4 separate regions of the Mus musculus genome follow, and all the other regions are reported to be linked to region 3. The links are microRNA targets in miRTarBase. Many come from high-throughput screens and were not tested one by one. Region 3 holds a microRNA gene; each other region holds the end of a gene's coding sequence.

What was found. The annotated mature microRNA mmu-miR-374c-5p reads AUAAUACAACCUGCUAAGUG and lies in region 3 at 2,465-2,484, shown strand. An mRNA with a match to its seed (bases 2 to 7 or 8) in the 3' UTR can be bound and repressed. Matches are read on the target gene's strand: a 7mer-m8 pairs with bases 2 to 8, a 7mer-A1 pairs with bases 2 to 7 and ends in A, and an 8mer does both.
Region 1: miRTarBase lists C2cd3 as a target of mmu-miR-374c-5p. Seed matches in the 3' UTR shown: 8mer at 1,619-1,626.
Region 2: the mRNA of Ccdc169 is a reported target of mmu-miR-374c-5p. Seed matches in the 3' UTR shown: 7mer-m8 at 3,116-3,122.
Region 4: miRTarBase lists Six6 as a target of mmu-miR-374c-5p. Seed matches in the 3' UTR shown: 7mer-m8 at 2,728-2,734.

Annotation. Positions count from the first base shown.
Region 1 is chr7:100,468,383-100,473,384 of GRCm38, forward strand. C2cd3 (C2 calcium-dependent domain containing 3) reads left to right here. Exons shown (of 33, transcript NM_001017985.3): 33 at 997-1,777. The coding sequence ends at 1,146. Gm10603 (a long non-coding RNA gene) reads right to left here and starts at 998. Exons shown (of 2, transcript XR_001778233.2): 1 at 1-998. Ucp3 (uncoupling protein 3 (mitochondrial, proton carrier)) reads left to right here and starts at 4,609. Exons shown (of 7, transcript NM_009464.3): 1 at 4,609-4,712.
Region 2 is chr3:55,170,562-55,175,563 of GRCm38, reverse strand. It overlaps Ccdc169 (coiled-coil domain containing 169), which reads right to left. Exons shown (of 8, transcript NM_177203.3): 8 at 2,628-4,299. The coding sequence ends at 4,200. Among named protein-coding and RNA genes, the nearest start is that of Sohlh2, 9.0 kb to the left of the region's middle.
Region 3 is chrX:103,570,594-103,575,595 of GRCm38, reverse strand. It overlaps Mir374b (microRNA 374b), which reads left to right and starts at 2,442; the gene lies at 2,442-2,536. All of the region lies in intron 9 of Ftx (Ftx transcript, Xist regulator (non-protein coding)), which reads left to right. It overlaps Mir421 (microRNA 421), which reads left to right and starts at 2,600; the gene lies at 2,600-2,675. It overlaps Mir374c (microRNA 374c), which reads right to left and starts at 2,511; the gene lies at 2,463-2,511.
Region 4 is chr12:72,940,721-72,945,722 of GRCm38, forward strand. Six6 (sine oculis-related homeobox 6) reads left to right here. Exons shown (of 2, transcript NM_011384.5): 2 at 907-4,179. The coding sequence ends at 1,075. Among named protein-coding and RNA genes, the nearest start is that of Six6, 3.3 kb to the left of the region's middle.

The DNA.
Region 1 (5,002 bases), not on the chromosome of region 3:
ACACTGGCCTCTTGGCCCTCCCCTGGCCTGAGGTGTTACTTTAGAAGGAAGAACTGTGAACCAAAAACAACACCCTTCCTGTTAGCCTAGACCTCCCCAGAACACAGAGCTGTACCTCCAGGCTCTGCCAAGCATCCTAGCTTGACACTGCTTATTCTTGGCCACCAGGAAGGCTTGCCTAAGGGCCTGCTCGGCTTGCCCACCTCCCCCTCAGTGCTTAGAGATCTGGACTGACAGGGATAGTCCTGACTATTTGCCCAGCCCCCTTGGCCATGGTTAGGAAACTAGCACCCAAGCAGCAGAGAGGACACAAGCTCATTCCCCTTACCCCATTCTTTTGGTAGGTCACTGTGTCTTGCCTGTTTTACTCTGAGCTGTGAAGCCAGGATCTGCTGTCATTTCTGCCTCCTGTTGACGTGTATTGTTCTATAGAAAGGAATAATGGGATTTCTAAGTGTGCTCATCCTGAGCCTCTCTAGCCAGGCCTGACCTTTCTTGTTAGCAGGCTCACGGGGTACAAGCTGGAGAGGTGGAGCAGTGTAGTAGGGTCCGTCAGCATGGGAACAAGAAAGATCTACCGGCCTGTGGGGACAGCCTCCGTTTCTTTCTGCACTGGCTCTTCCTGCCTGGCCTCCATCTCTTTCCTAGGGGCCTCATTCTCAGCCCACCAGGCAACTTTGCTATGTAGATCTGAGCCCTTCAGCACAGGAACCTGACAAGATACCAAAAAGGGGAAAGTGGCTGAGCACACGGCTTTGTCTATGGTAGCTGCTCAAGTGGGATTTCCACCTGCCTCAGCTCTGCCACTCAGAGCTGCACGACCTTGAACTAACTAAGTGCACCTGACCTTGTGATGTCATGGCCAGGGTTCCACAAGACAGGGTGTATGAGGTATTTGCAAACCAGGGACCTAGAGAAAATGTTAGCCCAAGGACCAGACTCACCTCTGCAATGCTGTATCCTCAGGACTAATCTAGATGACTTCCTTCTCTCCAGGACAAGAGTGAAGCCACCAGGGGAGCCCTTGCCCAGAGGCCTTGTCGCCCCAGACCTTACTCCATCCCTCCCAACCTTCCTGAGGAAGAGACTCGCAGGATTGCACGGATATTTTCTTCCCAGTATTCCAAAAAGACTGAGGAAACCTGAGGGACGTGGCTACCAGCCAGCCTCTCAGCTCTGTAAAGCTTGCAAGAGACAACAGGCCTGTTTCCCTCAGCATCCTCAGGCCACTAGCATCACCCTATTCCATGGGTATCTTGAGACCTAATCAGCTAAGACCAGAGGAGTGTCCCAAACCACCTAGCAGCTGCCTACCAGGACCTCAGCTTCCTTCTGTAATGAGGTGACTGCTGGAAGTGAGACTCAAGCACCCAAGTGTCCCACCCATCTTCTGACTGTGGGGCCTAAGGAGGCCTCTCTGAGCAGAGAAACCAGTGTCCTTGACACAGCCTACTGCTGACCAGAGCCCACCTTCTGCTTAAATAGGACAGGCTATTTTTGCCATAAATATTGGAAGAAACATGGAATAAGTATGTACATAGCTGAGAAAATTCCAGAGCCCTGTCCAGCTTGTTTGTTTGGGAATGAGGTATTTTATAGATATAAATTATTTTTATGATGTATTAATCAATAGAACAGGGGAATTGCCTCCTTTAAAACTGTATTCGGTTGTCTGAAATTTAACCATGTTTTTAACATAATGTTTGTTTCTACTCAGCTCTGAAATTCATTGCTCTTGCCTTTGTTTTTAATAAAAGTCTGGCATTTGTATTTGTGTACAAGTGTTTTTTGGGTTGGTCACTGGGAAAAGGTGTTGCAGAAAGAAGGATACAGCCATCACTCCACCACCTGCAACATGAGTCGCCATGAGACTTGCTAGTTCTTCCAAGTGTCAGATTGACCCATGTTAGAGGGATGCTAGTGTTCCACTTCTGGTGGTTTGGGCTTTTGCTTGCTTGCTTGGTTTGTCTTTTCCTCTGATGGCCCTTTAAATCTTGCTCAGCACAGTGAAAGTCCAACTAGGATCTGGTCCCCGGTGTGACTCAGGAGGGCACTTCTGTCAGAGCACAGCCACTTGGGCAGCTACCATAGACAAAGCCCTCTGAGGATAACTCTGAAGGGACATAGATGTCCAGTGCCAGCTGGTAGTGAGGCTGAAAGGAGCTACCTGAGGGCCCTGCTTGTCACCCTGTGTGTCATTTCTCTAAATCCTCACAACTCTATGATGCCCCTCCCACAATTACACTCAACACCATGGAAGTCGGATGCATTGCTTCTGTATCGGTACAAAGTGCATCAGGACCGAAGACATACCCCAGAGATAAGGACTCAGACCAAAGCAGGATACAGGCAGTAAACGCCCTGAATTCGGGCGGTCTCAGGCTGCTAAATCCAGGGAGGGATTTCTGGAAGAAACCCGTACTGGGGTAAAGCCCAGAGAATGGTATAGACCAGGTCATGGACAGCTGCAAAGAGAACCAGAGAATGTTCTGGACCATATCAGTGTCCAGCCTGGCTGAGACTGTGGCTCTGGCCTCATCTGGAAGGCACAGACACGTAGACTCTGGCTTCGTATGGTCGCTGTGAAGATCAAATGGGACATTTCTGAAAATGCTTCGCTGGCATTTGGCACATAATGGAAGCTTGAGAAATGTCAGCCCTTCCCACTCTTCCTAAGCACCGGGGTGAATTAGAGGCAAGCTCACTGGCTACCCAGAACGCAGAGCACTCCAGCCTCCCATAAGGGCCATGAACCTTCAGCCAAACCTGCCCCTCAGATCTCTGCTCCTTGAGTGTCACCTTGCAAACCTGCCCAGTCCCTAGCCAGGGGCTCCCCTTGCCCCAGGCCTTGCCCTCGGCCAGAACAGAGCTTCCAGTACCTGGAGTTCCACGTCCCTCGGGGTAAGAAACCTCTAGGTTCCAAGCCTAAGGGGTAAAGCCTAGGGTGAAGAAGATCACTGCCAAATCCTGATCCTGTAAATAACCTGAAGGAGTCAAGTGAGAACAGGGCCACAGGAGGGCACGGGCTGCAGACAAGGTGAAGGTCTGAGACACAGACGACATGCCCAATTTGTTATTTACCAGTCTCTCCCAGTGATAGCTCTGAGGCAACTTGACTTGCCAAGTTGTACAACACATTTGTCACCACAACCAGAATGAACCCTGACTTCCTTATGCATGCCCTCCACAGATGCCTGGAAAGTATTTCTGGTGACCCAGAGACTGTAGCAGCCAACCTTAAAACTCCCAGCAGAGGTTTGACTCTAGCTAGGCCTGAGCTCTCCTCCCTCTGGGTTTCTCCAGAACCTGCTGCCTCTAGTTTGACTTCTACTTGTAGCCCCAGCCCCCACATGGTTCCCACAGTCCTGCCCATGTCCAGATTAATAGTTCCAGACTGAGCTCAAAGCAGTGAGCAGGTCCTGGTCCAAGAAACAGGATAGACAGTCTAGATGTCACAGCACCCACCCTGCCATGGCGCTGCGCTCAAGTTCCAAAATGTCCTCTACCTTCTCTGTCCTACTTATCTCCTCTCCCCTCTCCTTTTAGTTTCCCTTCTATGCCACCTGGCTCCCAACTTCAGCTGTGCCCACCCAGTCTTTAACCTCAGCGCCTGCAGATGGACCAGCCTACGGTGGTTGCTGCAAGGGATTCTGCTCACCCTGCCCCATCTCCGGTCCCAGCATGTCCATGTCATGAGGAATCAGGATTGCAGCTGATAGACCCAAAGTGTGGTATAGGTTACAGGCAAGTCAGGCCTGCAGTGACCTAGCTGTCTGTCCTTGACAGTCAGTTTTCTGTGTAAAGTAAGCATTGACACATGAGGGCTCTACACAGTACGTCAGTGTCTACCGGTACAGTGCAGTGTGTTAACACCACTGTGAAAGAAACCAGCCACAAGAGGCTATACATTCTATATAATCCTACTCAAACAAAGCATCTAGAACAAGCAAATTAAGAAGCAGAATAAAGACGAGTGGTTGCCTGAAGCTGGGGGAAGGGAAAGGGGGTGACTTGTTCTGTTTTTGTCTTTGAGCCATGATGAAAGTGTTCTGAACTAGCATGTAGTAGTTGATCAACCAGACTGTACTAAACACTATTGTGTGCTCTATGTGGGCAAATCACATGCTGTGTACAATACATCTGTTGTCCTTTGTTTTTAAATTTAGGATCCTGCTTCCTAGAGATGTGGGAAATAGAAGCGCTGTGCCTGAAATATCAAGCATATCTTGGCACCAAGATGTCCTCTACCTTCTCTGCCCCGTCTTCTCCTCTCCCCTCTTGAGAATGTCAGGCCTCTAAGAAGTGACACCTGTAACCATTGTATAGGATCCTGGAGAGCCCCTGTCCTAAGAGACCTTGTCCTTTGGGCTCTCAAAGGTGACAAATGCTGTCACACACCTCCTGGCCACCAAGGTAGCTCTCCTCTTGAAAGCTCAAAGGAGCCACATTAAAGAGCCCCAGGTCACGGAAGCTAAACCAGATCTGGAACTCACTGGTCCCCTCCCCGCAGCCTGCCTCTTGTCAAGTGATCAGACTGTCAACTAGCTTCTCAGAATTAGGTTTCAGGTCAGCTGGTGCACAGGGCCAGTGCCGAGCCAGGGACAGCAGAGACAACAGTGAATGGTGAGGCCCGGCCGTCAGATCCTGCTGCTACCTAATGGAGTGGAGCCTTAGGGTGGCCCTGCACTACCCAACCTTGGCTAGACGCACAGGTAAGACCCCATACTCTGCTCTCCTCTCCCTTTTTCCCTTCCATGGATGCTCACAGCCAGGAGCTTGCTGGGATCACTCAGCACTGCGTGAGAGACCGAGAGTGAGCCGGTCTAGCTCCCACCTAGTAAAGATGAAGGAACTGCAGGCCTGGGGAGGGCCTTGACTTCCACATCTATGTGACTCCTCACAACTCCCGTGTTTTGCTGACTCCTCTGCTGGGATCTTACAAATGCCAGATGAAAAGTGTCCCTCTCCTTTGGCCCAGGATCCCCACGGAGCACAAAGCCCT
Region 2 (5,002 bases), not on the chromosome of region 3:
GGCCTGGTTTATCTGTGTGGTTGAGTAGGTGCTGTTACCTACTAAAATACCCAATACCTCTAAGATTTATTAGAAATATTGCTTGGTGTAATATAAAGAGAACAGGTTAATTGCTTTAGTTAGTAAAATTCAATCACTGGTGCCCAACACAGAACACGTACAAGTAGGAATGCTTTATTCACACAACCACCAGGTGAGGAGTAGCATTGCGAATAGAATAAATATGCCGTGTACGATGATCCAGTGACCTGAGAGTCTTCCACGATATGGGGCTACTGCACACCGCGGCTTTGAGACTTGCTTCTTTGGAATGTGTGGTGCCAGCACTTCAGACACTGAAGCAGGAGGATGACCAGTTTAAGGTTAACCCGAGGTATTCTAGTTTGCTTTTCTGTTGCTGTAATACATAGTATTCACCAAAAGCAACTCAGAGAGGAAAGGGTGTATTTATTTCTTTTTTCACACAATCTTCTAGTTCACATTTGAAGAAGGTGCTGGGGGCTAAGCCATCCTTCAGGCAATCAGAACTTCCATGGCTCATTCTCTAAACACACGTGGATGTCAAAAGGTACCTTTAGACCCCTTTTTTAAATCACTGTAATACAGTTTTATTTTATTTATTTGGCTAATATAATTCCATCTATATAGTAGCAGGGGGCTGGAGAAAAGGCTCAGTCCGGAAAGTTCTTGCCTGCCTGAGGACCTGAGCCTGATCCCCAGCATCGACATTAAATGCTTGCAAGGATAAAGCCCAATAAAATTATCAACAGCAATGTAATGCATGACATTCATAAAATGATATAGTGGACAGAAAATGAGATCAGAAATCAGGGGCGGATGTGGGGGGGGAAATCAGTCACAGAAGCAGAGGATATAAATAGAAAAGAAGCACATTAAACCCGTTGTTGTGCTTATAATATATCCAAAACCAGCAAAGAAGATCAGGGTGGGGAGGAGGCACAACCAAGAATGATGATCTTGTGTGCTTTTGTAGGCCAGGCCTAGAAATGACATAGATGTCTTATTGGTCTGGCATGGTGGTACATGTCTTTGGTGCCAGCACTTCAGAAGCTAAGGCAGGAGGATGGCAAGTTTCTGGCTAGGAGTTCTAGCTTACTTTTCTTCTGCTATGATAGAACACTAACAAATTTAGGAGAGGGGAGGGTTTATTTAGTTTACATTCCCATGTCAGAGGCTACCATTGAGAGAAGCCGGGGCTAGAGCCTGAAGTCGAGACCATGAAGAGATGTGGCTCTCTGGCTTGCTCAGCAACATTCCTTACACAGCCCAGGACTGCCTAGGTTTGGCAATGACCAATGGTGGACTAGGCCCACATCTACAAACTGGCTATCCAGAAAGTACCCTGCAGACACTCCCAACAAGATAATCTGATAGAGACTGTTCAACCAGGGGTTCCCTCTTCCTAGATGTGTCCAATTTTAAGCTACATAACATGACACAGTCTCAAGACAAAGACAAAAACAAACAAACATACAACGACCACCAGAGAGAAGGCACAAAAGGGGATGTCTGCTTGATATAGGATCTCATACAATTCTGTACCTGTGGTGTGCTCCTGGACAGTGTTTCTAATACACACAACAGCTCAGTGTTTATGACCTATGCACTGGTAAACAAAGTTCTTCCTGTCCATGAAACATGAGCCTCGGGTGCATTCTTCCGAGAAAGGAGACTGTTCATTGAGCATAAAGCAATCTGGACCACAGTCCACTAGTTTGATCACCAAATACTTTTGTTTTTCTTCAGAACTTGCACAGAGTCAAAGCCCTGTCTCTCCCCTTTATCCAGGTGCAACTCAAAGAAATATAATGGTTGAAGAAACAAAATGGATTGTTAATACTTTGTGTTTTAATATTCTTTCTTTGCTTTAAAAATAGTTTTAATATCAAGTGAATGTGTTCTTCAGTTCTGGCCTTGCAAGAGTGGCAGAGCCAAATTTAGCCATTCACTGTGACTAAATAGAAGGGTAGATAAAAATAGATAAAAGAGTTGTTTGCAGGTGTAAGAGGGGATCCTTGAGAAGGCAGCAAGTCCAGTTGCCTCCTTAGCTCCTCCCCTATACACATCACAGACTTCAGAGAAGGAAGTACCATGGTAACAGGTCCGTTTCCCACATTAGAGGAGACAGAAGCTGGTGGAAGAGGCTGATGGTGAACACAAAGGCCTGTCCAAAAACAGAACCCCAAGTCTGCACAGGATACCACGAGCCCCTACAGGACACCAAGGCATAAATTGCAAAATGGTGAAGCAGAGTGCCTACAGGTCTCCAGGCATCCAGGTCTGGGCCAAGCAGAGCTATGTGTCCTTTGTGTCATTCACGGTAACTTCACTGGGGCCTCAGGCTAGCTATATCTTAACAACCTCACTCTTGGCAGGTTTACTCACTCCAATGGAAGTCTGAGGCGTTAAATAGAACTGTAAGCAATTTAAATGCTCATAGGAATATTGCAATCTGCAATATGATATTATTGATACTCAACATCCAATAAAAACTGTATAGATATATGAAGCAGAATGGGAGACCCAAAGCCAGGAGAAAAATCAGTCTTTAGAAACAAACTTGGAAGAGAAATAAAGAAAGAGAAAATATGTACATTAAAGCCCTATCATGTCAATATTCCATTTTATTAAAATATTTTATTCTTCGATAATTTCACACATGTATACAATGTATTTATTTCATACACACACCAATTCCAAGATCCCATAACCCCTTCCCAACAGCATATCTTTAAATACGTGTGTATACATACACACATATACATCCATATATATGTTTATTCACACACACATCTATTCCATTGAAGCCAGTTAGTGCTGTCCATAAATACATAGCCGTGGGGCCATCTACTGGATCATTCTGAACCTACCAGGGACCACACCCTTAAAAGGACGGACTCTCCCTCTCCTAGCAGACCTTGCTGTCACCAGCTTCTCAGCTAGGGGTGAGGCCCATGTGTCCCTCTGCCACTGGAGCTGGAATGTTGGCTAGCTTGATCTTGAGCAGGTTTTGTGCAGGCAACCATAGCTACTGCAAGTTCATGAGTGCAGCATTATGGTTCTATTATCTACACATACATGTACATATTATGCATAATACATACATACATACATACATACATACATACACACATACATACATACACATAAACCCCTCAGGTGTAAAAGGCACATTACATATAAAAGGAAACAAATGACTTTTTTCATCAGATATAGGTTAAAACACCACTTGCTTAACATGCACAAGAAATTTAAATTCCAATAATTTCTCTCATTTAAATGGGTAAGTTATATGAATCTTCCTGATCTCTACTACAATTAGAAAAAACATTCGAGTCACAAAACACCCTAAACATGAATAAAATTCAATAAAGTTCATAGGTCCTAAAAACAATTTCTTATTCTCCCTCTATTTCCTTCTAGTCTCCAGTATTCCAAACTCCTGCAAAGTTTGGTCCAAAAACTAGACCATTTTTGTGAATTAGTAAATGTCACAAAATGACTTTAATGCCACATACACAGTGGCAGACCCCTGTGACTGAATTTCTAGAAATTTTATAAATTATACAGTTTAGCACAGCCATTTTTCTAGATGTAGGAAATAAACATGAGGTGATAGGATAACCCTAAATCCTCAAGGTTACTGGCGGGGGGGGGGGGGATGGGGGCAAGAACAATGCAGTGCATGGCTGAAGTTATTGATAATATTTTCCTGAAACTTTCATATGCATGTGATCTGGGAATATGTTGAAACCTTGATTTTAGAAAGTTGAACTGAGCATGATGCAATTTAAAATAACAAAAAGGTGGAGATATTATATATAATATATAAAACAATATATAGTTCTAACTAATGGTCAATTTAGAAACCAAATACAACATAAAAGTGCAATCAGAGAATATCAGAAACACTCTACTGAGAGTGCCAGAAGGATGTCAACCTTCGGGTCCCTTCTAAGGTATTGTAAGAACTATAAGCACATGTACTGGATATTTAGGGTTGCTGGAGACCCATGACTTTTATGCAGGCAGAAGAATCAACTTTTGAAAGAGTGAGAGAAGCCGCTCTCCCTCATCTATTTCCTCCCCTGAGGAATGTATTGAACATTAGCTTCCTAAACTGAAGACACTGAATGACGAAAAAGATGGAAAAAATAGAAGTCTGCCCAGCTCTGGAGTCACGGGTTGAGTTTTGGAAGATGGTTTGATCTTGGAACCTTTTTAACTGGTCCTTTCTTGGCATTTGTTGTCTTCTGATTCATGGAATTGTGTCTTCCACTGAAATAAAATAAGCATCGATCATAATTTTTCTGTCACTGCTGTCTGCAATATAAACAGTATCCGCCATATATGAAGAACTATGGTTGACCCATCTCCTCCAGTCTGGAGTAAGGAAACCTTCATCCGCACATGTTCTGCTTACAGCACAGTCTCAGGCAACCATGTCACTGTCTCACTACAGCTTTGGGGCAACCACTGCAAAGGCAGGTACTCAACAGAGGAGTCTCCAGAAGCAGGCGTCGGGTAGCCAATGTGGAAGCCCGTGTCTGAAGAGGGGAAGGGGATCAAGGGCTACTTACCCTGAATTAAAGTCAAGAGCACAGAGAGGCCAAGAAATAAGGTAGGGATAATAAGATGACACTAAAACACAGATTTCTGTTCTTAGATCCCATGGAATCTTCTCTTACTGACTTATCCAGCTTTGTGCGGGTAGCTTCTTTGTGTTCTTCTGTGAACTAGCAGAGGCTGCTTCAGCTGAGGTACTTTTCAAATATATCTTAGAGTGTGGTCTCAGCACAAACAACCAAGTAAAGACCTGTCATTTTCCTCCTAAGCAAGGAAAAACTTTCTCTCCCCCATAAAAGCAAAGAGAAATTGTCAAAAAATAAATAAATAAAATAAAAAGAGTTCCAAAGCAGTTTAGAACTCTAGAAATCAAAAATATGTGTAGCAATTCTCAAGAATGTATAAAACAAAGAAA
Region 3 (5,002 bases):
TGTAGACCAGGCTGGCCTTGAACTCAGAAATCCACCTGCCTCTGCCTCCCGAGTGCTGGGATTAAAGGCGTGCACCACCACCCCCGGCCTGTACACCTTAATCTTGAAAATCAACTTTAATCCTTAACCGCTTTGATGGTCCCCATTTTCTAGTAAAACTTTGTTTCTCCACTTGATATGTTCCCATTTAATGATCACCACAACAGCCTTCTGATGCATTCCAGTGAGGTTTTAAAGGCAATTATCTAACACCTAAGCACAATCATAAAAATTCTGTGCACCAGGAAGACTATAGTCTACCCTTGCATATCTAATATATATGTAGAAAACAAGCGCAGGAACTCTGGGTATGTGGGATAGAGCATTTTGGAGGATGTTCCTGTTGCCTGCTCATGGTAGAGCATGTCCCCAACATGTGTGTTACAAAGGGCTTAATCTCTAGCACAAAAAAAACAGGCAATATTATTCACTTCTACATTTTGTTTTTGGAATAGCTGACAATGAAAATTACAAACAGTATTTTATAAACATAATCTGTAAATGGGAAAATCACATCAAGGATACATTCCCTTTGTCTACCTTGAAATGATCCAAGGCCAGCCTTGTCTACAAAGCCAGTTCCTGAACAGCCAGGGCTACATCGAGCAACCCTGTCTCAACAGGGTAAACAAGGAATGAAAGAAAGATTGATAGTCTCTTACTATGTTAGGTAATGTAGCTTTTATGCAAACTTTAATCAGTGGTTCTGAAGGCTTAAGTTTTCAGTAACATATTGTTGGAGAAATTTGTATCCAGACATCCTTATTGGCCTTGAATTCGTTTAAAGGTATTTTCTGCTCCTTGTCTAAGGGACTGCCAGAAAATGGGTTATACTGCAAGGTTGTGTTTAGTTGAGTATGGATGAGAATTGGGCTCAAGACACTGGAGCTGCTGTTCATCTTCCTACTTGGCTCAGAGACATGACGATTTATACCAGATTGTCTGTCCATTTTAAACTTCTAACTATGAATATAGATACACCTTAAGGGTCTTCAATTTCAAGGTGCTTATTACCCTATAATCTTAAACCCCAGGCTAAGATTATTTATTGATAATGCTGCCAACAAATGTCTTTTAACTCATGAGTAACTTTTGTCGGGGCTACAAGGGGTTTTTTAAGAGTCTGTTTCCCTCTCAGATCACTTTTTCATGTTGATCTAAATGTTTGTCCACAGTTCAAATCATTTATTATTATTATTATTCAGTTCTCTCAGTAGTCAGGATATTGAATTAGTCCCAAAGATGAGAGATATTCAGGTATATAGATTAAACCTTACAGGCTGACTAGTTACTCGCTAAGAGGTTTGGGGTAGGATATATGGAGGAGAGTTTTACAGGGAAGGAATTTTTTGTCATGGATAGCTGCCATCCTCTCATTCCTTAGATATACATTTAGTTTCTTCTCCATAGAAGAGCCGTATCTAGGAACTGCCAATCCTCAGTAAGACACGGAGATAGCAGCGGTGCCCCATCATTCTCATCTGAATAGTCTCTTGTCACTGGCAGGCTTTCTCCTGAACTTTATTTTTCTTTTGAAGTGTTTAGAGACTTGAAATGTTCATTGCTTTACTTTGAAGCATCAGATATGTGTAATATCCACTCTAGGGTTTCTGATCTCAAAGCATTATAAAGCAAGGCATGTTGGCACATGCCTAGAATCCCAGCATTTCGGGTCCTTATACAGGAAGACCATCTTGACTTTGAGTCCAGTCTGGGTTTCATAACAAGTCCCTGACTGAAACAAACAACAAAATCTATGAACATGTTTTCTACTCAGACCTATCGTATTGATCTTTACTATTCAAATAATGCATTTATAATGAGGACAATTTTACTTAAGTAAATGGTTCAGATTTGGGAAAGGAAGCTCTGAAGTGTGCATGCAAACAGTGACTCTAGGGTTTGGGCATAGGCATTAGCTGGCCTGTTTGTTAATTGCGTCCACTCAATGCTATCTTAGTTATTGTTGCTGTTAATGATGGAGCGGGCAATGCAAGAATTAAAAGAAGAAAGTTAATTATTATTATACCTTTTGAATGGTCAATGGTGTTGTGGGGAGGGATCATGGACGTTTTTAATGATTCACTAATGTGAAGTTAGCCCATGTAGGAAACTCGATGATTCTTCCATTCATGCTCTTGATTAGTAATCTATTGCCTTTCTTCTTTGTTCTAAGTTAAAAGCTTTTGAAAACTTGTGTTATAGCTGAATAAAGGTTTTTGTATAAACACAGAAAAGGATGTTTGGGGAATGGTCACAGTTGACCTGAAGCCGAATTCTAACTGATAACTAGCTATGTTAGTTCTTGTGACTGTCATCCCTGGAGAGCAAGAAACAACAGCTGGCCTTGGTGATCAGGAGAACTTCATGGATCGCGCAGCAACCTGGAGTGGTGTTCCTCTGAAGAAATCCTACTCGGGTGGATATAATACAACCTGCTAAGTGTTCTAGCACTTAGCAGGTTGTATTATCATTGTCCGAGGTTATGGCTCTCGTCTATCAAACTAATCCGTAAGGGCAAGGATGGTGACTTTGTACTCACAGTGCCTAATCCGGTGCACATTGTAGGCCTCATTAAATGTTTGTTGAATGAAAAAATGAATCATCAACAGACATTAATTGGGCGCCTGCTCTGTGATCTCCATGGGCTCAGCTTGTTCCTGCCAGTGGCCTTCAACGTTCAAGCTCTCCGCAGCGTCCTTATTTCTGCAGCTCATTCCTGTGTTCTGTGTAGTATAATCATAGTGGATATATTTTACCTTTCAAACCAATTCCAATTGATTGATAATTGTGCCTCGACTGTGTTTTATAAAAAGGATTCCATATCTGGTTCTTTTCTATCCTGAGGGTGTGGAAGGAAGGGATAATAGCTCATGTACCATAAATGTGATATTTTCTATGAAATACTGTATTTATGCCTGTGTTTTGGAAATGCCTGCTTGTCATTGTTGCATCTCTGTTGTTGTTACTATAATCGCTACCGATTACTCCCTAGGTTGGACTACAGTGATCACTGAGTAGGAGCTTCGTCTTTAAAATCTGGGGTGTGCTGTTATGGTTGGTATTCATTTTCCTTTACCCGCTTTCCCCATACCTCCATTTATAATTTTATTGCTGCTCATAGCTCCAGAAGGATATAGTAACAGAGCAGGCATGGCCTCAGTGTGGTAAGCTAAGTGAGAACAGGAAGTGGAACCAGGGTAGAAAACCCCAGTCTTGCCCCTAGTGACACACCTCAAGCAAGGTTCTCCTTCTGAAAGGTCCCATTACATTCCCAAATGTAGCCACCACCTGGGATATGAGTGTTCAAATACATGAGGTAGGGCCACGGTGTTCCTTCAAAGCACCACAGAGGGCAGAATGTACACCCTGCTAGAATAGCTTTCTATGAAAGGATCCATCTCTTCACTGGAGCAGGCAGACATATGAAGAAGACAACTTGGAGTGGTCGTGAAAGGATTTGAGGTTTGGCATGGACTCTAAGAAGCACGAGATTTGTGGTTTTCCTTCTTTGTTTCTTGCTAGGTAGTCCTGGCTGTCTAGTAACTACCTACAAAGATCAAGGAGACCCCAATCTTGTAGCAATCCTGCTGCTGCCTCACAATTGTTAGGATTATAGACATGGGCACATGTTCATTAGAAAGTTGCACTGTTCTCTAATTCATCTTTTAAGATAAACTATAGAGGGATGAAGATTAGCATGTTACACCACCACAGATAGAAACCATTCTAGTATCACGAAACATCCAACTCATGTAGAATTTCCATTCGCTGTTTGGGATGATAGAGAGATGGAATTGAGTTTTTAGAAGGTAAACCACACAAGAGAGTCTAGGGAACTGACAGAGCCTGGCTGGACTGCACAGTTCGTCCTCAAACGACTTTTTACTGACCCAGCTCCTGAGGAAAGGACCCTGGTGTCTGAACTTCAACGCTGATTTAATAATCATTGTTTTCATGACTGGTCCTTTAGAAATCTGGCCTGCTTTATATTTGCCCCTGGGGCTTAGACAAGGGAGAAAAATGGAAAATACTGTCCGAGGTAACCACAGCCACACAGAACCTCATACACCAAGTGGTTAGCCTTATCATAGAGCACAGGTGCCTGTTCTCAGTCACATGCTAGCCCTGTCTTAGGATTTTGTTTACATTAACCATTCTATTTCACAGTATTAATGTCCTTATACACAAGATACACAGAAATCTTTGTTGTGTTAGACATCAACAATGAAAAATCCCTCAGGCCCAAATATCAGAAGATAGCACGAAAATACCAAGTCAGAACGAAGAGGGTGGCCAGTGGATTTGAAGGTAGATGCAGACTTTATCATGGTTACTCCTACAATACAGAACATTCTTGTTTATTAGTCTGATACCAGCCATCTGATGTCATGTTGGCAACTAGAGAAGCTTTATATAAGAACAGGAGCTCTGTAAGAAAATATTGTAGGAATTAGGCTTTATAAGACAATCGTGGCCCTTGGCAGTCTTGGTTAAGTCTCTTAGGATGGTTAGGGTAGAACTTAGGTGTGAAAAGTCTTGACTTTCAATTATTCTACATTGAATTCCCAGAACACCTGAGTCAAGCTTTATTGTGTTTATTACCCTTGGTCTTGCCTCCTCATTCTTGTGTGGACTCCTTAACTCCTGCCTCTCTTTACCCAACCCAAATGTGTTTCAGCAATCTTCTTTCCCTGCCCAGTACTGGATCTGTGAAAAGCTGAATCATGAATCAGTGAGTGTGCGGATTGGAACCCAAGTTGCTCTCTGGATAGAACGAAAGGAGTCGTGCCCCAAGAAGATGGAGAGGGAAGTTATGAAATGCTGTGACCAAATAACAAATGCTGATGTTTGGGGAGATAACTGTTTCCCATAGGAAATAGAGTGAATGCGATGTCTTTCTTTTGTGAGGGATTCATAGACCGCTTCTCAACGCTTGTTACATGTTACTCCTTTTTTCGAG
Region 4 (5,002 bases), not on the chromosome of region 3:
CAAAGGGAGCTGGGAATGCAGTCTGTCTTGGGTTTATGAGCCCACTGTGTTCTAGATTCCTATGCAGGCTCCTGGTTCCCCACCGTCCCCCCCCCCTGGTTCTTGGGGTTTTGGGGGTCACTGCAGCAGCTGATGTGGGTCACCAAACTAAAATGTCGCTGTAGTTAGGGAAACGGGGGCGGAGGGAGGGAGAAAGATTAAAAGCCCAGGATCAATCAGAAATCCAGAGGCCCAAAGCTAATTTTTACTAGCATGGACCCAGGCTCTCATCAAGTGAAGCCTATTTAGTTAGCTCTATTTTTAAATCCCGGCTGCATCCTTCCCTGATGCTCTGAAAAAGGTTTCAGTTTTCAGAGAGTCTCAGATTCTAAGAGGCAGAAAGACGTGTTTCCTCATGACAACTATCCTGTCTCCACCCAGCAAGCTAGTCGGCCTATGCTTTTCATTCGCCAGCTTTTGGAGCTTGCAACTCAGGCCCAAACTCTTCAAGCATCCTCTAGCCTCAGGCATGACCCATAGGGAGATGTAGTATTAGAAAAGGAATCTCGTATCCTGAAGCCTTATCTGTCCCGCTTTGCGCTGGAGGATTTCTGACAATCCTCCAGTAAATCTCCCAACATTTGGGTGACAAATGAGAAAGATCTGGGGAGGCTAAGGCGGAATTCATAGTGAGCTGAGAAACAAGGAGACAGACATACAGACAGACAGAGAGGGGCAACGGCAGGATTCCGCGAAAGAGCTGTGGTGCATCGGTCCAAACCCGGTCACTTCACCTTCCCCAGCTTGTCAAGGTCTGAATAAGAGTCTTAACAAGGAGCTGGAGGTAGACGGGTCGGAGAAAAGGGGTACAATGTGGCGGCTTGATTTCTTGCTGTGACCAGTGTCCCTTTCTCCCCAACCCTCCAGACTCCAGCAGCAGGTTCTGTCGCAGGGCCCCGGGCGGGTGCTACGCTCGGAGGGTGAGGGAACGCCTGAGGTGTTGGGCGTCGCCTCCAGCCCGGCTGCCAGTCTGTCGAGCAAGGCGGCCACTTCGGCCATCTCCATCACATCCAGCGACAGTGAGTGCGACATCTGAGCTGCCCACTCATCACACTTAGAATCCAGTGTAAAAATGAGATACACAAAATAAAAAAAGAGAGAGAAAGAGAGAGGACAAGACCAGCAAATACGGCGCTGGCAGAAGCCCCGTGGCCAGGGACCCGCGGGCCTAAAGGCTCTAGAAGCGAGAATCCATCGCGACTCTGGGGCATGCGGTGAGGCCTGACCCAATGCTACTTCTCTTCGCATTGCTTTTCCTGAAGGATCTGGCTGCAAAGACTCCTTTGGAACAGAACTGCACTCTGAGAGCCTGCCCTTGAGTCTCCTGCGGGTATTTCACTTCGAAAGGACGCTGTTATATATATGTATAACTTTTGCTTTGAAGGTTTCTTTTTTAAAAAACAAAACAAAACATATATATGCTGTTTATTTACTTATTTAAAAGACTTCCATGATAGGTTTCTCTGTAGCTTGGGGAACTTGCTGTTTTGAATGAGCAAGCTCACGCGTTCTGTGTGAAGAAGCCAAATAATAAAACAACTTGGTGGATAACCTTTCTTAATTAAGAGAGCTGCTATCTCAGATTTTAAAAATCACTCTTATTTCCTTTGCTGGGCACGCAGCATGGAGTCTTATTCAAATTGTCTCTCCAACTTCTCTATATCCTCTGACATCTCAGTATATTTATATTTTAAGCAGCCACAGATAAACCGCTAACTAACCGCCACATCGGATTGTATGAAAATGTATGCATGTGTATACATAAACATATGCACATTGCCATATTAAACCCAGAATTTGGAACATGAACATGCCATCTATGGCAGCGCTCTACATTCGCCACACAGGTGATCATGGTTTGTCCACCTAATCATTTTTATGAAGTGTTAGTGATTTTCAAGAACAATTTTAGAAGACAAATTTTAGACTCAGGTAATGAATCGTATTTTACAAAAATGCCAAGACACGAGGGCTTTATGATTAAAAAGTGTTTCCATTTTGTTTGAGGTACTCTCCCACTCAGAAACTTATGGTCATTCAAGGTAAGCATGTAGCACAGGTAGAATACTTACTAAGTGCTGTAGGTCTTATTAAGACCATTTAAAAAGATAGGAGAGGTTGATACTAACCAGGCTAGCATCTTCCTGCTTCAGAAATGGGTTTTAGTCAACTAAATTATTTTCACCAGGAGAAATACTAAGATAGGAGACAGTATGCAGGCTTTATATTGACCAGAAAGCATGCTACAGAGAAATGACAGGCATTTTCTAAATCAGTGCTCTACATTTAACATGCAAACAATTCATCAGGAAGTTCGTTGCCTTGGGACTAGCCTTCATTAAAATATAAAATATTCTTAGCATGTAATTGTTCTTTGTACATACACACACATATACCACATGCACACATACACACACGTACACACTCTACCACTTTTGCACTAAGAACGTAAATAATATCCATATTATCTAAGATTTTGCTTTGCCTAGTGAAATGGATTGCACATTACAAATTTTAATATTGATCTTTAAATCTCAGCCAGTTAGAGTTCTTTTAATTCACCTCTCACCTGCTAAAAATTTCTGAAGGCAAAAAATGTTAAAGTACCAAACAAATGAAAACTGGAGTTATGAAAGAAAATAGGTGGTCAAGTGGCTATTGGAAGCCCAGGACGTGAGAAAGGGCTGATGTATTACGTGTATGTATGTATGTATGTATGTATGTATGCATGCATGTATGTATATATGTACATTTGTATGTATGTATGTATGAGTGTGTGTTTGAATGTATATATGCATGTATACATATTTGTTTGTATGTCACTTAAGCAGAGTTGGCTACTGTGGGCTTTAAAATTGTCATCACTGAGTCCACTTGTTCCATAGCTAGAAAATTGTTGCAAATTGAAACTCTCATAGCAAAAGATGGACAGGTTTAGGAAGCTTTTGTGGTCAAACAGGTAATTCCCAAGTCAAACAAATACTCTTCAGTGGCTCAAGAAAGCCTTCCATGGTAAAGCTATATCTTTTGATTTCTAAAGTCCCTGTCGATTCTTTGGGTGACAAGGAGCAGTTTGGGCCTCCAGAGGGGGAAAATAAAAGGCATCAAGAATGCAAATATTAAGAAATTGTTCACTTTCCTGGTCATGTGAGTGACATGTCCTAGCGACCTGAAACTGAGTATCTCCTTAATTTTGTGCCTTGGTTGGTGGTGGTGACTCTAACTAGCAGACCTCTGGAGGTTTGGGGTCAGCCTGGTCTACAAGGTGAGTTTCAGACCAACCTTGGCTACACAGTGAGGTTTTGTTTTGTTGTTTTTAAACACAGAGTGTTTCAGAAAGCAACACCATAATTGCACCCGAGGTTCTCCCGCCTCACAATAGGCTAGAATCAGCCTAGCAGGATTGCACTTCAGTGGAAAATTCATGGCTCTCAATCTTATAATCCAGCTCCATCCGAAACTCATTTCAGCTATGAATGATCCAGAGCCAGAAAATGGAGACATTTATTGGCAAAATTTATCTCTTATCTTTGTGATCCCAGGTCAAACAGAAAAGACAGAATGAACTAATTAGTAAAATGATGGACAAGAATTTGAGATTCTAAAAATCCTAACATACTTGCCAGTTTCAAATGTCTGAAACAGATGGAAACACCCACCCTCTCCAGAATTAGAGTAAGGCTGCAGGAACTAAGCTTTCTCCGTATAAAACAATGTTTAATGATACTTACGGAAAAGCAGAAGGCCAAACAGTGAAGGTTTTTAAAGGAGATATACTATTTCCTTAAATTAACAAGCTGCCCAAGAATTACGTTTAAAGTAGTTATAATGCTTCAATAGCATGCAGACTTATTCATCCGATTTCATGTTGAAATCTTGGGGCCACCAACATTGTTTGAAGAATGCTTTTGTATGTTTACCTGAAATCTGATGACACGTAATTGCTTTGTGACTAATACTTGGAATGACCCTAGGTTGGAAATTAGCCCAGATCTTCAAACAGCAATTTACTCAATCACCCGAATCAGCCCATAAACATGTGTTATAAAGATTTTACATTTTTATATCAATTTTATCCTGACCTAGACTGCGTTAAATTCGAGGCAGTGGAAAGGCTCCAATAAAAGTCTCTGAATCGCGGGAACTGTCCACAGAGCAGGTTTTCTTTCTTCTGATTCGCTTGTCACAATTTCCTCAAAAGCAATTAATCCGGCACAGACGAAAGAAGCCGTTTTTACATTTCAACAGACCTGACCCAAGCCGGGATTTTTAACCTCAGCCTCAACTTGGCTCGTCTCTGGCGCCTCACTATTTTCAACTACCCAAAATCTCTCCAAATGCTCGGCTCCTCTCGCCTCCACTGTAACCACCTATCCTGCCGCCACCCCAGCGACCCCCCCCCCCCACCCCGACACCCGTTTGTTTATAAAAATCCGGAGGGAAGAGGGGAGGGGAGCCCAGGCTGGGGGTGGGGAAGGGCTTGCTCTTTGTTTACATTAAACAAATGACAGGCAAAGAGCTCCAGCAAAGTCTTCCCTGACCTCGTTCTCTCTCTCCAATTTTTCACAAAAAGGAAAAAAAAAATATTGTATCCGAAGAGCCGGTGAATGGGGCGGGTGGAGGGGAGTCGCAGCTTCTCGCTCTATTCAGCCGGGACCCCAGCGCGGCCGATTTCCGCTCCCATTGTGAGGCGGGCGGCGGGGAACTGGGGTCCGCGGGGCGGCCGGCGGGGCTGTCAGGCGGCTCAGCGTAATCAGGGCTAATGACAGCGGCCCAGGGCCCCGCGGGACAAAGCGCCGGGCCGCGGGGCTTTGTCGGCCTGAATGGCTAATGGGTTTGCCCGCGGGCTGCGAGGGGGCGGCGGCGAGGGGAGCCCGGGTCATTGTCCCCGAGCCGGCCCGGGCGCGTCCCCCCGGAGCTCGGCGCGCGGCCGTGAAGCCCCCTGCAGGCCTGCGGTGTCTCG